Linked DNA regions of Oryctolagus cuniculus. The protein of the gene in region 2 interacts with the protein of the main gene of each other region in a biochemical or structural test. Links are inferred from orthologs where the notes say so. Each region holds a gene or a part of one and is shown on either strand. Other genes may lie near its edges.

The links.
Region 1: the proteins of ITGB2 (region 2) and ICAM1 form a complex in vitro, tested with the Homo sapiens proteins (4 studies listed by BioGRID). The link is inferred for Oryctolagus cuniculus from reciprocal best matches to the Homo sapiens genes ITGB2 and ICAM1.

What each region holds. Positions count from the first base shown.
Region 1 is NC_091447.1:67,090,846-67,098,311, forward strand, and holds the start of ICAM1 (intercellular adhesion molecule 1), read right to left. Parts: upstream 4,241-7,466; 5' UTR 4,150-4,240; coding exon 4,083-4,149; intron 2,660-4,082; coding exon 2,402-2,659; intron 1-2,401. UniProt on the Homo sapiens protein: ICAM proteins are ligands for the leukocyte adhesion protein LFA-1 (integrin alpha-L/beta-2).
Region 2 is NC_091435.1:1,710,836-1,717,525, reverse strand, and holds the end of ITGB2 (integrin beta-2), read right to left. Parts: intron 6,580-6,690; coding exon 6,392-6,579; intron 5,055-6,391; coding exon 4,810-5,054; intron 4,418-4,809; coding exon 4,198-4,417; intron 3,926-4,197; coding exon 3,714-3,925; intron 2,049-3,713; coding exon 1,882-2,048; intron 1,650-1,881; coding exon 1,587-1,649; 3' UTR 1,249-1,586; downstream 1-1,248.

The sequences.
Region 1 (7,466 bases), on a different chromosome or scaffold from region 2:
GGAAGAGGGTGACAGAGTGAGCCGGTTTCCTTTTCAGGGGGGGATGCAAGTGCCGTGCAAACGAAGATGTGGTGACGGTCGCACGAGGCTATTAATATACCAAGAATGCACGTGGTGGATTGTGTGCTGTGTAAATTCTCCCTCAAAAAAGCCGTGAAAAAAAAAAAACAGTAAAATAAAGGTCAAGAGAGACCTCAGGGGCCAGGCTCTGGTCTCCAGCCACCTCCTCCTGCAGCCTGCTGCATCTGAAGCTTCCTCCCCCAACCCCGAAACCTCAGCCCCACCTACCCCCCAAGGAGCCCAGCCATCCTCGGCCAGGCCCGGCCCGGCTCCGGGAGCAAGTCTGCCCTGCCCGGACCTCCCCTTGACCTCGAACTTGAACTTCAGGGCCTCTCCACCTCAGCCTGCCTCATTCTTCAAATATTTGTCTGGCCTTTCCCTCTTGGGCACTGCCAGGGCCCAGACCACGGGGAGAACAGGCAAAGCCCACGGCCAGGCTGCCCCTGTTTCCTGTTTGAGTCCAGCCCTCTGCTCACTCACCCCCCACGGCTCCCCAACACCCCGCTGACAAGAGGCGTCCAGACTACCCTCACCTGCCGCCTCATTAACCGATCGGTCAGCAACTTCTCCTGCCTGACATCGGGACGCTCCCCGTTCCACACTTCTGTCTAGGCGCTTCCTGTTTCAACAAACTCCTACACATCCCTCAAAGCCCACCGCCTAGGAATTCCATGTCTAACCTTTGTGGAGAAGGGATGTCACCCACACCGGTGGGGGGTGGGGTGGGGAGAAGGCCAGGCTCGAGTCTCCCCTCCCCTTGAAATGGAGTGTTCCATTTCACAGATGTGGAAGCTAAGGCAGCACAGCACCCGAAGGCCCAGCAAGGCAGATGGATCTCAAGAGCCAGGCAGGAAGGCACCAGGTCCCTCGCACAGTTTCGGGGGGGGGGGTTTCCGGGGCTACTGGGAATGTCTAGGGCTTTCCCTATCCCGGGGGCGGGGCCACACTTGCTCAGTCAGCAGAGATAAGGCCGCCGAGGGCCCAGGGCGTTCAGGCTGTGGCTGTGCCAGGAGCAGTCTGTGCTCACGGGCTGCAACCCCAAGGTCGCCCACCAAGGTCCCTGGCCTATAAGAGCCACGCTGGGGCTGGGGCCCGAGATAAGCAATTCCAAAGCCATTCCCTGGGGCCGGCGCGGCATCCCATACTGGTGCCAGTTCGAGTCCCAGCTGCTCCACTTCCGGTCCAAGCTCCCTGCTGGTGGTCTGGGAAAGCAGTGGAGGATGGCCCAAGTGCTTGGGCCCCTGCACCCACATGGGAGACCCGGATGGAGCTCCGGATCGGCCCAGCTCCGGCCGCTGTGGCCATCTGGACAGTGAGCCAGCAGATGGAAGACCTCTCTCTGTCTCCCCCACCCCCCTCTCTCCAACTGTGCCTTTCAGAGAAATAATTTCTTTTTTTTTTTTAAATCCGCTTCTCTGTTTTTCTTCCTTGTTTTGATTCGCTTTGACTCACACGCGCACACACACACACATTGTGCGTGTGCATTCTTGCTTTGGTGACCCATTCTCCCAGCTCAGAATCCCTGAGGGCACGCAGACACACAAAGAAAACAACCCCTCCCAACCAGCGCCAGCACCCTCTCCAAGAGCCGCTCTGCCCAAGGCCAACGGTGCTCCTGGGGGGTGCACAGCACACAGGCTCCACCCCGCCAGCGGGGGGGGGGGGGCGGGGGCCAGGCCCTTTCAATCTCACAGCGCACCCCCGGGGTGCCTTCCTTCGTGTCCAAGGAGCCACCTCTTTCTTTTACACGGCTGCATACTATTCCACTGCACGCCCAAACCACTTCTTGCCTTCGCAGGCCTCTGCGTTCCTCTGCCCTTCGAGCACAGCTCTGGCAAATGCCCCCGGGCCCCTGGCAGGCCCCCTGCCGGGGCTGGTGCCCAGGACTGCCACCCAATTCCCCGCCGCCAGGCCGTGCAGCCCCGCCCGCACAATCCTCCTACGGCGGCCACTGTGCCAAAACCGGGCCTCGTCTGGGTGCTCATTGGCAGGGAGCCGGCACTGGAAGCGGAGTTGGGATTGAACCCAGGCGCCCAGCGCGAGTTCCAAGCAGGGTTTAACCCGCCCCAGTCTGTGTATTTTGCTTTATTTATTTATTGGAAAGGCAGAGCGACAGAAAGAGAAAGAGACAGACAGACAGGTCTTCCCTCTGCTGGTTCGCTCCCTAAATGCCCACAACAGCCGGCACCGGGCCAGGCTGAAGCCAGGAGCTCCCTCCGGGTCTCCCACGCAGGCGACGGGGACCCAAGCCCTTGGGCCACCGCCCGCTGCCTTCCCAGGCACATTAGCAGGGGCCGTCCCATGCGCCCCGGGGGAGCCCCTCCCCGGCCCGGCCACTCACCGTACACCGTGAGCCTGGCAGAGGCCATGGACTGGCTCTCACAGTCGGAAAAGCAGATGAGGGTACTGTCTTCCTGCACGTCACTCAGCTCGAACACCTTCCAGTTGTCCCCGTGGGCCACTTCCTCCTTGCTCAGCTGCGTCTCCAGGCCGAGCTTCGACGGCTCGGCGCAGGCGGCGCTGCAGTTGACCCGCGTGGAGCCGCCACGGGGCAGCGTGACTTCCGAGGGGAACACCGACGTCTGCGCGTCCCCGGGGCCTGGGGCGGGGCGGGGCGGAGGAGCGCGCATGACCAACCCCGCGTGGGCGCGCACGTGCACGCGTACGCGCCGCCGGGCACAAGCCAGGGCTCCCTGTGGGAGCCCCAGGAGGGCTCATGAGCAAACAACAGATAACTAGGAACCGATGTTCCGAAATCAGAGCTTGGAGAACAAACAGAGACCGTGTGGGCCCCCCGAGAAAAGGGAAAGCGATTTCAGGCCGCAGGAACCGGCAGGTGCAGGTGCAGGGCGGTCGGGGGCCCAGTGAACCATGGCGACAATGGTGGGGGGCTCCAGAGGCCTCCGCGCTGAAGTCGTGTCCTTCCACCCAGGGCGGCTGGAGGCAGAGGCTGACTTTAAGGCCAGTTGCCTCTCCCCCCCCACCACCACCACCAGGAGGCCAGCTCCCCCCAGTCAGGCTCCTCACCCCTCGGGACAAGTCGTTCCCCCTGTCCGGGCCTCGATTTTCCCATCTGTAATGCGGGTGCATTGGAGTCACCCCACCCAAGCCAGGCCAGCAGCGTAGCCAGTGGCTACCTCGAAGGGTAAGTAGCAAAGGGCCGTTTTCCAAGCCACTCCTTAAACTGTGCCCCCAAAACAGAAAAAATAAAAATCCCATGGAAGCCGCCCCTTCCCACCCACCCCCCCCAGGGGCCCAAAGATTCCTGTTCTGCTTTGCTTTATCTGGGCTGGATGGGACGGGATGGGGGGCGGGGGTGGGGTGGGGGAGGCTGGGAGAATCGCAGCGGCAAAGGATCTCCCAGAGAGGGAAGCGGACTCGCTCCCATTGCTCGGAGGGCAAGGTAGAGGCCCGGAGAGAGGAGAGGTTCCCGAGCTACACACGGGTGCCAGGGAGCTCTCCGGCTCCCGCTTCCCGCTGTGGGGGGCGGGGTCACCCTGCAGCCCCTGGGCCGGTCCCCCCCCCACGCTGGGGCCGGGGTTTCCAGGGGGCGGGGGGCGCGCGCTGCGGCGTCCCACTGCTCAGCTCCTGACCCCGAGAGAAGCGCGCCCTGGAATTCCCCCGAGCCTTGGACTTCCCCAGGGGGTTAGAAGAGGAGGAACAGAATGTGTCTTGGGCAGGGGGGGGAGAGGGGTCCCCAAGATTAATGAGTTTGGCGCGGGGCCAAACTCGCCTTCCAGCGCGTGACCAGGCTGTCCCGGGGCCAGGGGCCAGGCGCCGGGCGGAGCGGGGCGGGGCGGCCACGCGAATCCCGCAAGGGCAGCGGCGCCACGACCCTCCCCCACTCCCGAGAAACTGAGTCAGGGAGGCGCCAGCCCGGTGGCCCCCGCGGGATGTGGCTTCGAGCCCACGGCTGCCGACTCCGCAGCGGCCCCGCTCGGGAGACCGAGGGGGCGGAGGATGGTCTCGATCCTTCCACACCTGCGCCCAGGGCGCGCGGCCGTGTGCGACCCGGGACTCACCTGGCAGCAGAGCCGCGAGCAGGGCCAGGAGCGCGGGCAGCGCGCGCCGGACGCGGTCGGGAGCCATAGCGGGCAGGACGCGGGCGGAGCAGCGCGGAGCCGGGGCGCAGGGTGCGCACTGGGGCGGCGCGCGGCGCGCGGGTCCTCTTATAGCCGCCGGCCACGGGGGGCCTGGGGGGGGGGGCGGTGCTTTCCCGGAAACCTTGAGCCTTCCCCTCCGGAACAAGGGCTCAGGCATTTCCGGGCTGAGACGGTGCCCGGCCCGAGAAGGGGGGTCCTCCCTCGCTGGCGGCTCCCGCGCCGGAGTTTCCAAACTGAAGCAAGGAGGGCGCGGCGGCGGCGACCCCGGGGCGGCGGGGCGGCGGGGCTGCGGACCGCCCCGCCGGTCCCCTCCCCATCCCGGGCCGGGCTAACCTGGATTCCCTGTTTGCACTGCGTTAGGCGCTTTAGTGACTCCTACCGGCTTCCCTGGGGGGATTGTGCCCATTTCACAGAGGGGGTAAACTGACTCCCCAGCGCGCACAGCGCTCCTTAACCGAGCAGACCGCCCCCCTTGCTAGGGTGGGCTTGCTGGGAGTCCAGGACTCCTCCCGGGGCGCACCCGCGGGCCCCGGAACCTCAGGGTGCGCGCGTGAACCTCGGGTGCTTCCACCCCCGCGGCCTCGCTTCCCCTTTTGGCCTGGGCCGCGGGGGCGGCTCTCGCAGCTCCCAGAATCAGGAAGGAAGCCTTGTGGTCCTGACGCCGCCAGCGCCCCCGCTGCTTTCTCAGGCTCCGCGGGGTAAACTGAGGCAGCGGGGAGCAGGGGAGCCGGGGAGCCGGGGCGCGTGCGCTGAGCAGGCGCGGCTGGAGCCAGCATCCAGGCTGGAGACCCCAAGGACCCGGGCACTGGCCTGGCCGCCTTAAGCTTCCTGTTGTTGGACGCGCTTGGGGTCGCCATGGAGACCTGCAAGGGGCCAGGGAGGTCGCGCAAAAGGGGAAGGGAGGGGTCCCTCCCCGCGCCCCGGCTGTTTCTAAGGAATTTCCACGGGGATCTTTGTTTTCTTGGGGAAGGGGGTGGCTCGGGGGTCTTGAATCCCCGCCCCGGGGCGGCCTGGGCAGAATCAGAGAGTGGGACCGAGGGCGTGTGTGTGCCTTTGAGGGTCTGGGAAAATCCAACCGGATTTTTCTGGGGCGCGCACGGCCCCCTTGCCAACAGGTGCGCGGGCGGCGCGCGCCCCCTAGCGGCGCAGAGTCCGCCTGCAGCGCGCTCGGGTGGTTTAGCCGTCTCAGCTTGTGGTGTGGGGGTTTATTAAGCACCTACTATGCGTCAGGTGTTTGTTGCTACCGGGGGGGGGGGCAGGGCCTGGGGAGGGAATATGAAATGTTAGGGTTGCAGATAAGAGCAAGAGCACCCATCTGTTGGTTCATTCTCCAAAATTCTCCCAAAGGGAATGACTGCCCCCAGGCCAACGCCAGGAGCCAGGAGCTCCATCCGGGTCTCCTACACGGGTGCAGGGGCCCAAGCACTTGGGCCATCTTCTGCTGCTTTCCCAGGTGTGTTAGCAGGGAGCTGGATCGGAAGTGGAGCAGCTGGGACTTGAACCAGCGCCCACATGGGATGCGGTTTAACCCGCTACACCCCAACTGCCAGCCCCAGCTGATCAGCTTGAAGCAGAGTATTTTGGGAAAGACCTAGGAGGTGACATTTGAACAAAGCCCAGGAAGGCACCAGGGGACAAGGGGGACATGCAAAGGGCCTCAGGTCATCACCGCGGGAGGACTTTGCTCTTACGCGTAGTGACTGGTGGGGCGGTGGCTGCTCTGGCCCAGGGGAGCCAGGCTGGGGCTGGGGCGTGAGGGGCACAGGTGGGGTCACGGTGGGCAGGGGGCCCAGGGGCTCGCGCCTCCTGGTCCTGGGCCCCCTCGGCGCCGGTTCCCTGCAAAGAGAAGCAGCCGTTGCCAGCGCTTTGTCGCCATTTGCGGGAAGGGCACGGCTTCCTGCTGGCTGCCAGGCGGGCTCAGGCCGGCCAGGGAGCGTGCCTGGGGCCAACAGGGGCTTTGGACACAGAGCTGGGGCGGCCGAGGCCTGGCCCCAGCGTGGGCATCGCCGCTCCCGCTCTGAGCGCCTGTGGGGCCGCCCTGCAGTTCCCTTAGCCCTGATGTCCCTCCCGGCATCCCCAGCGTGGCCGACTCCTCCCTACCTTCTCGTGGCCTGAAAGTTTTCCCGAGTGTTCTGGGCTCTGTCCCCGGCTCTGCCTGGGGCCGCACCCTCTTCCTCGCTCTCAGTCTCTCTCTCTCTCTCTTTTTTTAAGATGTATTTATTTATTTGCAAGTCACTCCCCAAATGACTGCAACAGCCAGCACTGGGTCAGGCTGAAGCCAGGAGCCAGGAGCTCCCCCTGGGTCCCCTCCACGGGTAGCACCTGGGCCACGTGCATGGCCCGGAAGCTGAATTCCAAGTGGAGCAGCCGGGACTCGAACTAGCGCTCTGTCCGACACAGACGCTGATGTTCCAAGTGGTGGCTTAACGGGCTGTGCCGTAACACTGGCCCCGAGGCAGGATTTCTTAGGAGAGAAAACACCCGTGAGCAGGGTCCCTGTGGCTGCTCCCTGATGGCCTGCGCCTCTAGCTCAGGCCAGGCTGGGAGCCGGCTCCACCTTCCTCCCCCCACCCCCAGCACTAATGAGAGGCGCAGCTGATAGGCGGGTAACAGCTTAACCCAGCAAACCCAGGTCCGGGTTACAGCATCTCCTAGCCACACTCAACAACCGCCACCCCACCCCCTCCCGTTGGTTCACTCCCCAGATGGCTGCAACAGCCAGGGCTGGGTCAGGCAGGATCCAGGAACCTGGAGCTGCATCCGGGTCTCTGGCAGGGACTCAGGTGCTAGGGCCACCCCCCCCCGCCCCGCCTTCCCAGGCGCATCAGCAGGGGTTTCGGTCAGAAGTGGAGCATCTGGGACATGCACCTGTGCTGGCACTGCCAGCGGTGGACCCGTGCACCCCAGCCCCAGCCCCGGGGGTCCTTTTATTAAAAGCCAGCTCCAAGGGGGAGGGTGTTTGGTGCAGCATCCCACACCAGAGAGCCGGTTCAATACTCCGACTCCTCCCATAGAGCTCCCTGGGAGGTGGGTGGCAGGTGACTGATGGCTTTAGTGCTTGGGCCGCTGCCACCCACGTGGGAGACCCGGATGGAGCTCCTGGCTCCTGGCTGCGGCCTGGCCCAGCTCCGGCTGTTGTGTCCGAGGGAGTGACCCAGCGGGTGGGAGAATATCCTACAATCGGGGATAGGCACCCACACCCCGCGGACTCGGCAGCTTTGGCTGTGCAGGGAGTACAGACGCAATCCCCAGAGAGACATTCCAGAAATGTTTTCAGTGGCAGGGCGGCCCAGCTGAGAGGGC
Region 2 (6,690 bases):
TGCCCTCGTGGGAGGGGTCGGGGAGAGGAGGGCAGGTAGGGACCTGCAGGGCCACCAACACTGAAACAGTGAGGGGCGAGGGTGACCTGTGGCCTATCTGCAAACAACACGACTTGGTTCCGTTGTTTTTAAATGTTTCAGACGATAAAATAAGCCAAATTATTTTCCTAGATGTGAAATGATGTGGCACTGCTGATGCGGTGAAAAGTTAATCCTTGGGCCACATATAGCAGTCACCATTGGTGGTTTTTTTTTTTTTATGAATAGATGTTTAATCAATAACTTTGTAGGAATTTTAATAGAGAAATTATTTTTTGAGAAATTCTTCAATACAAATTAATGGGGTGGCTCTTGTGTTGTGATACAGTGGTAAAGCTGCCATCTGTTACACTGACATCCCATATGGATGCCGGTTCGAGTCCTGGCTGCTCCACTTCTGATCCAGTTCCCCGCTAATGGCCTGGAAAAGCAGTGGAAGATGGCCCAGTGTTTGGGCCCCTGCACGCGTGTGGGAGGCCCAGCCGAAGCTCCTGGGTCCAGGCCCCTGGCTCTGCACTACCCTGGCTGTTGCAGCCACTTGGGGAGTGAAGCAATGGGTGGAGACCTCTTTCCCTCTGCTCCCTTGCTCTTGCTCTCTCTGTAACTCTGACTTTCAAATAAATCAGTCTTTTCTTTTAAATGGCAAGTATCATCTGGAAATACGTTTGCATGCTTGGCTCCCTCGTGTCGAGGCAAGCAGACCTGAGCGACGCAGCACCTGCCTGCAGGGGACGTGGAAACGGGATACGCTGGTCACAGCAGCCCCTGCCCACTCTGAGGCCCAGGGCTGCTGTTCCCAGCAACGGGCACGTGGGCTGCTGGGCATCTCCATGCCTGGGTCCTCATCCTGAGAGACCACACACCACCTGGGCTCATCCACGCATCACCTGACCCCGGATCACCCAGGCCACCCGTGGGAAACAGAGCTTCCTTTAAAACTCTCCCCGGGTTCCGGCTTTGCCCACCACAGCTCTCTCCCAAGAGCAGGCCTGTACCTGACAGGTGGCAGAAGAGGGGCGAGGGTCGGCAGGCTCAGCAGCAGCCCCCGCTGCCGGGGCTTCCGCGTTCTTTCTGGAAAGCTGGCCAGCACGCATGCTTGGGCCGGCAGGTGGGGAAGGGGCGGGGGAGAGGCCAGCAGAGCGCTGCACCCTCAGAGCCCACCTCTGACATGGGGGCCACGGGGCTCAGCTCCCATGTACAGCCTGTGTGGAAGTTTTATTCATTTTTTATTACACACATAACTGATTCGAACATGTCCACCCTGAGAAGTGTAAGTATAAATAAATGCGCGCCACCTCGGGTTAGGCTGCACTGCTTGCCTTCACAAGGAAGACACGCATCCACACCATGACTGAGCGGTGCCGTTCTACGTTTCTCTCGAAGACTGTGGCCAGAAGGGGAGGCCACCCCCCGGCTCTGTGAAGGGGAAGGGGATGGTGGACTTGGGCTAAATGGTGACGTGAGCAGCGCCATGGCCTCAGCGTGCAGGAGCCGCGGTGCAGGGGTCCCAGCGGGTGCGTCCAATGTCCCGCGGGCACCAGGTGCTCCTAACTCTGGGTAAACTTCGGGTTCATGACCGTGGTGGTGGCACTCTTGAAAAGCGGGTTATCCTGGTGGGAAAAGCACACACGGACTTGTTGGGGGGGGAGGCTGAGGGGCAGAGCTTTGGAGGTGCTAGGTCGACGCGGACGCTGTTGCTTTGGGGAAGGAGCCGAGGTGGGGTGGCTTTCGTGGGTTCCGGCCTCAGCAGCAAAGCTAGTCCCCAGCAGCAGAGGCTGTGCCGGGGGCGGGGAGGGTGCGCACCACGCCTGCAGCCTCCTGCGCCCAGAGGTGCCCACTTACATTGTTCCACTGGGACTTGAGCTTCTCCTTCTCAAAGCGCCTGTACTCCCGGAGGTCACTCAGGTGGGTCAGTGCCTTCCAGATGACCAGCAGGAGGACGCCGATGAGCACAACGCCCGCCACGGTGCCCCCGACGATGGCGGCGATGTTGGGGCCCTGCACACACTCTGCGGAGGAAATGGCCACACAGAGCGTCAGCCCCCCCTTTCCTGCTGGCCCCAGGGTGTGCCCACAGGTGCGCCACAGGTGCACACGGAGGAGCCGAGTGGTGTGAGGACACCGTCCTGAACCGTAGCCGTGGAGCACGGAGGGAGCCAGCCCTGGCTCCCGCAGGACACAAGAACATCCCAGTGACGGGTGGAGGCCCTGGCAAACCCTTTGTTCAGGGGGGCGGAGGCCAAGCAAGCCAGAGCCTCCCAAAGGGCAGTCACCACTCATTCTCATTCACCTGACCCTGGCACGAATTTGCCTACGTGGTCCTGACAGGACAGCGTCCACCTGGCCCTGATAGGACGGCGTCCACCCGGCCCTGACAGGACAGCGTCCACCTGGCCCTGATAGGACGGCGTCCATCCAACCTCTGACAGGACAGTGTCCACCCGGCCCTGACAGGACAGCATCCACCCAGACCTGACAGGACAGTGTCCACCCGGCCCTGACAGGGCAGCGTCCACCCGGCCCTGACAGGACAGTGTCCACCCGGCCCTGACAGGACAGCGTCCATCCAACCTCTGACAGGACAGTGTCCACCCGGCCCTGACAGGACAGCGTCCATCCAACGTCTGACAGGACAGTGTCCACCCGGCCTCTGACAGGTCAGTGTCCACCCGGCCCTGACAGGACAGCGTCCACCCAGCCCTGACAGGACAGTGTCCACCCGGCCCTGACAGGACAGTGTCCACCCGGCCCTGACAGGACAGCGTCCACCCGGCCCTGACAGGACAGCGTCCATCCAACCTCTGACAGGACAGTGTCCACCCGGCCCTAACAGGACAGCGTCCACCCGGCCCTGACAGGACAGTGTCCACCCGGCCTCTGACAGGTCAGTGTCCACCCGGCCCTGACAGGACAGCGTCCACCCGGCCCTGACAGGACAGCGTCCATCCAACCTCTGACAGGACAGTGTCCACCCGGCCCTAACAGGACAGCGTCCACCCGGCCCTGACAGGACAGTGTCCACCCGGCCTCTGACAGGTCAGTGTCCACCCGGCCCTGACAGGACAGCGTCCACCCGGCTGCCTGCTGAGTTATACCAACAGAACTTGGATCTGTCACTGTTCTGTGGAAAACCCAGCGCTGGCCCCTGGTAGGCCCTGGCGTCTGCCAGGACTCCTGGGGCCCCGTGATGACTGTGGCCCCGCCCCCCGGCCTGGTGCTGTCATCCTCCTCTCCTGCCCTCAGGGACCCTCCCCTTGGCTCCTGCAGTCCGCACACGGGGCCCGAACACGAGTAGACAGGGCTGGGGTCACGAAGCCCGCAGCTGTTACTGGGAGCCGCACGGACAGGCGGCCACCCGCTCTGGGACGCAGCAGCGCCCACAGTCTGGGCCCCTGGATTTTCCCATTGTCCTGGGGGACAGCCTGGCAGCCGTGGCTCCAAGCCTTGGCCCCTCGATATCAGGTGGCAGCTGACCTGGGGTTGAGCCGTGTGGTGTCCCCCAGTGTGCCCGTCACAGGTCAGAGAACTGACGGGGGTGGGAGGAGTGGGACAGGTGGACTGGCCACCAGCGTCCACGCGTCGCCACTGAGAGACCCCTCCTCTGCAGCGCCCCCCCCCCCCCCGTGTGGGGAGGTCCGGGGCCGTGGCTCTCGTCACAGGCCCGCCGGCCTCACCTCGGCTGTCCTCCACGTGGACATCATAGTTGTCCATCCCTTGGCGCTGGCACAGGGTGAAGGCCATCCAGCAGCCCTCCGAGTCTTGCTCCTTGCACGTCTTGCACGTCTTGCCCCGCAGGGCCACGTCCACCAGCTGCAGGTTTTTGCACTGGGTGCTGCAGTTCTTCCCAAAGGGGCCCTTGTCGAATTTCAGGCACTCAATGCAGGAGCTGCGGAGGGGGAGGGGCTCAGGTGTGCACGTCAGATGGGGCCCACGCCAGCGCCTACCGAGAGCCAGGCTGGGGTGGAGGGCGGAGGGAATGGGACACCTGGCCAAAGGGGCCAGGAGAGGGCCCAAGCCTGAGGCCCCCAGAGAGACAGCCCCACAGTGCAGTCAAACCTGGGGCAGGGGTGGTCAGGCGCTACGGCCTGCTGAGAGCCCCCTGCCCACATACAGAGGTGGGGCCGCAGCTGAGCACTCCAGGGGTGGGGTGACACTCACATGTACTGGCCGCAGGGCGAGGTGCAGCCCAGGCACTCCTGGCACATGGGCGGCTGGTACCCCTTCTTGCACACACACACGTTGCAACGGCACTGTCCACGGCCGCTGCACTCCACGCCCTGCGCATCCAGGCAGCCGTCCGTGGACTTCTTGCACTGGCACGCCGAGCCCTCGAAGCCGTCGTTGCAATGGCACTGGCCGCAGGAGCAGGACCCCCTCTCTGGAGACAGCAGTGGCCACTGCTTTGACCCAGGGGCCTGGAGACGCTGCTGCCCTGCTGGCTGCTCCCTCTGCTGGGTCATCGCCCGGCCTCTTCCCACTGCCCCGCCTCTGTCTGTCCCCCCTCCTGCAGCAACTGTCCAGGTCCTCCTCGCCCCACCAGCAACTTCCTGGCTAGCCTGGACCTCCACAGGCCCCCCTGGATGATGGTTCCTCCCCAGGGCCCTGACGGTCACCCACTGAGGTCACCTCCCCCTCACAGACCCACCCTCTGGGCAGGGGAGGGCTCTCCTAACCACCCACGTGTCCATCTGTCTGCCCCCCGTGTCCCACGCTGTCTGCCCCCCCCCCCCCACTGGACAAGCAAGCGAGGCCTGAGTCCGGGCCACTCACTTTTGCCACCGCAGACCTGGCCGTCGTAGCGCTCACAGTTCATGTTGTCGCACTCGCAGTACCGCCCGAAGATCTGCTTGTTGGGGTTGTCGCTGGTGTGGCACACGCACTGCCCGCAGATGCAGTCCCCCAGCCCCGAGCAGACAATGGAGCTGTTGTCCTTCCGGCAGCTTCCCTCCAGCTCCTGGCTGCTCCTGCCCTGCGTCTGGCACTCACAGTTCTTCCCGGTGTAGCCGGCGTCGCACCTGGCGGGGAGGGAGGGACTCAGCGGTGGCCGAGACACCTGCTGTTCCACGCCGCGTCTGCCCTTCCTAAGTGCCAGGACGTCGTGGGCAGGAGCACGCGTGACCTTGGCCCGAGGCGCTCCTGCAGCCACGCTGTGGCCCCCTGCCCGCTGTCGCCTGCCCTGGGGCAGCACTGCAGCCGTGTCACAGCCCCCCCCCCCCCCCAGCCCTGACTGCGAGGCTGAGAGGATGTGGGGGCAGGGACGGCAGAGGCAGGCGGCCACTGAGGCAGGCCCAGGGCAGTCTCAGAGACACCACTGCTGCAGCGCTGCTGGGGGGAGGTGTGGGGACGGTGGAGGCCGGGTGAGGGTGAGGGACAGAGCAGCCCAATGGGGCAGAGACCGGGCGAGCAGTCAGAGGGGAGACAGCAGTCGTGCGACAGGGGGTTGGCCCACCAGCAGGGCCGGCGGCTGTGGCTCTGGCCCCTTCTGCAGGCCTGAGCGGGCGTGAGGGTGCCTGTGTAGCCTGGCAAGGTGCGGTGTGGGCCGAAGGAGAGGTCCTGGGGTGGGCCAGTCCTCCGGGCACGGAGCCGGGCAGGAGGACACTCCCAACCCCTGCACCGAGGATGGCACTCCGCCGCCCTGCTGTCTGCTCCTGGCCTCTCCAGGTGTGGCAGGTGAAGCTGTCCAAGGGGTGTGGGCTCAGCTTGGCCACCCTGGGGGCCCCAGGGGCTGAATGAGACAGGTGTAGCTGGACACGTGCCTCTCGGTCGTCACCGCTGCCGTGGGGATGTGTAGGAGCCCAGCAAACACCCACCCTGGGATGCCTGCAGGCGTGGCCCTGCTCAGGACCCGAGCGTGGAGAGGGAGGAAGAGTGGCCATGGCGACAGAGGGTGTGGCTTTTTGACCCTCAGGGGGTCAAGGCCAGGTGCTCAGCCCACCCATGTAAGCCTGGGCCCACTGTGCCCACCCCCTACCCCCCAAGTGGGGTGTCACGCCCCGTAGTGCCCCAGCACTCTGGCCTGCTACTCCTGGGTTCCCCAAGTCAGAGAGAATGGGTTGTGGGGGAGGGACACAGAGGCTGGATGGAGAAAGTGACCAGTGCAAGGCCACAGCCACCCCTGAGGTTCCTTGTGCCCTGCTATGGGTCCTGCCTATGGTGAAAGGGTGTCCCTGCCGGCCCTGCCTTGGGCCCCCGCGCCCAGAGAATGGGGAGCGTGGTCAGCATTGCCTGCCGATGGCCTGGCTCGGGGGTCAGAGGAGAGGGCGTGGGGGGTGCTGTGTGTGGAAGCCCAAGTTTTCCTTCTGCGGGTGGAGCCGCCGGGCGGGCTGCGTGCCGAGGGTCCTGCTCCCCTCACCTGCAGACGCCGCACTCCATGGAGCCCTTGCCCCCGCACAGGCCACGCTCCTGCCTCTGGTCCCGGCACCGGCACTCACACAGGGGGAGGACCCGCACCGTCACCGTGTCGGTGAAGCCCAGGGCCCGGATGACAAACGACTTCTCCTGGATGCACTCGGAGGCCGTGACCTTCACCTGGAAGGTGACCTGCAGGGGGAGGGGCAGGGCTCAGGCCGGGCATGGGGGGGTGGGGGTGTCCTGACCCTGTTCCCGCCCCCGGCCAAGCTGGGCCCTGGGGGCACAAGCTTGCCCAGGGTG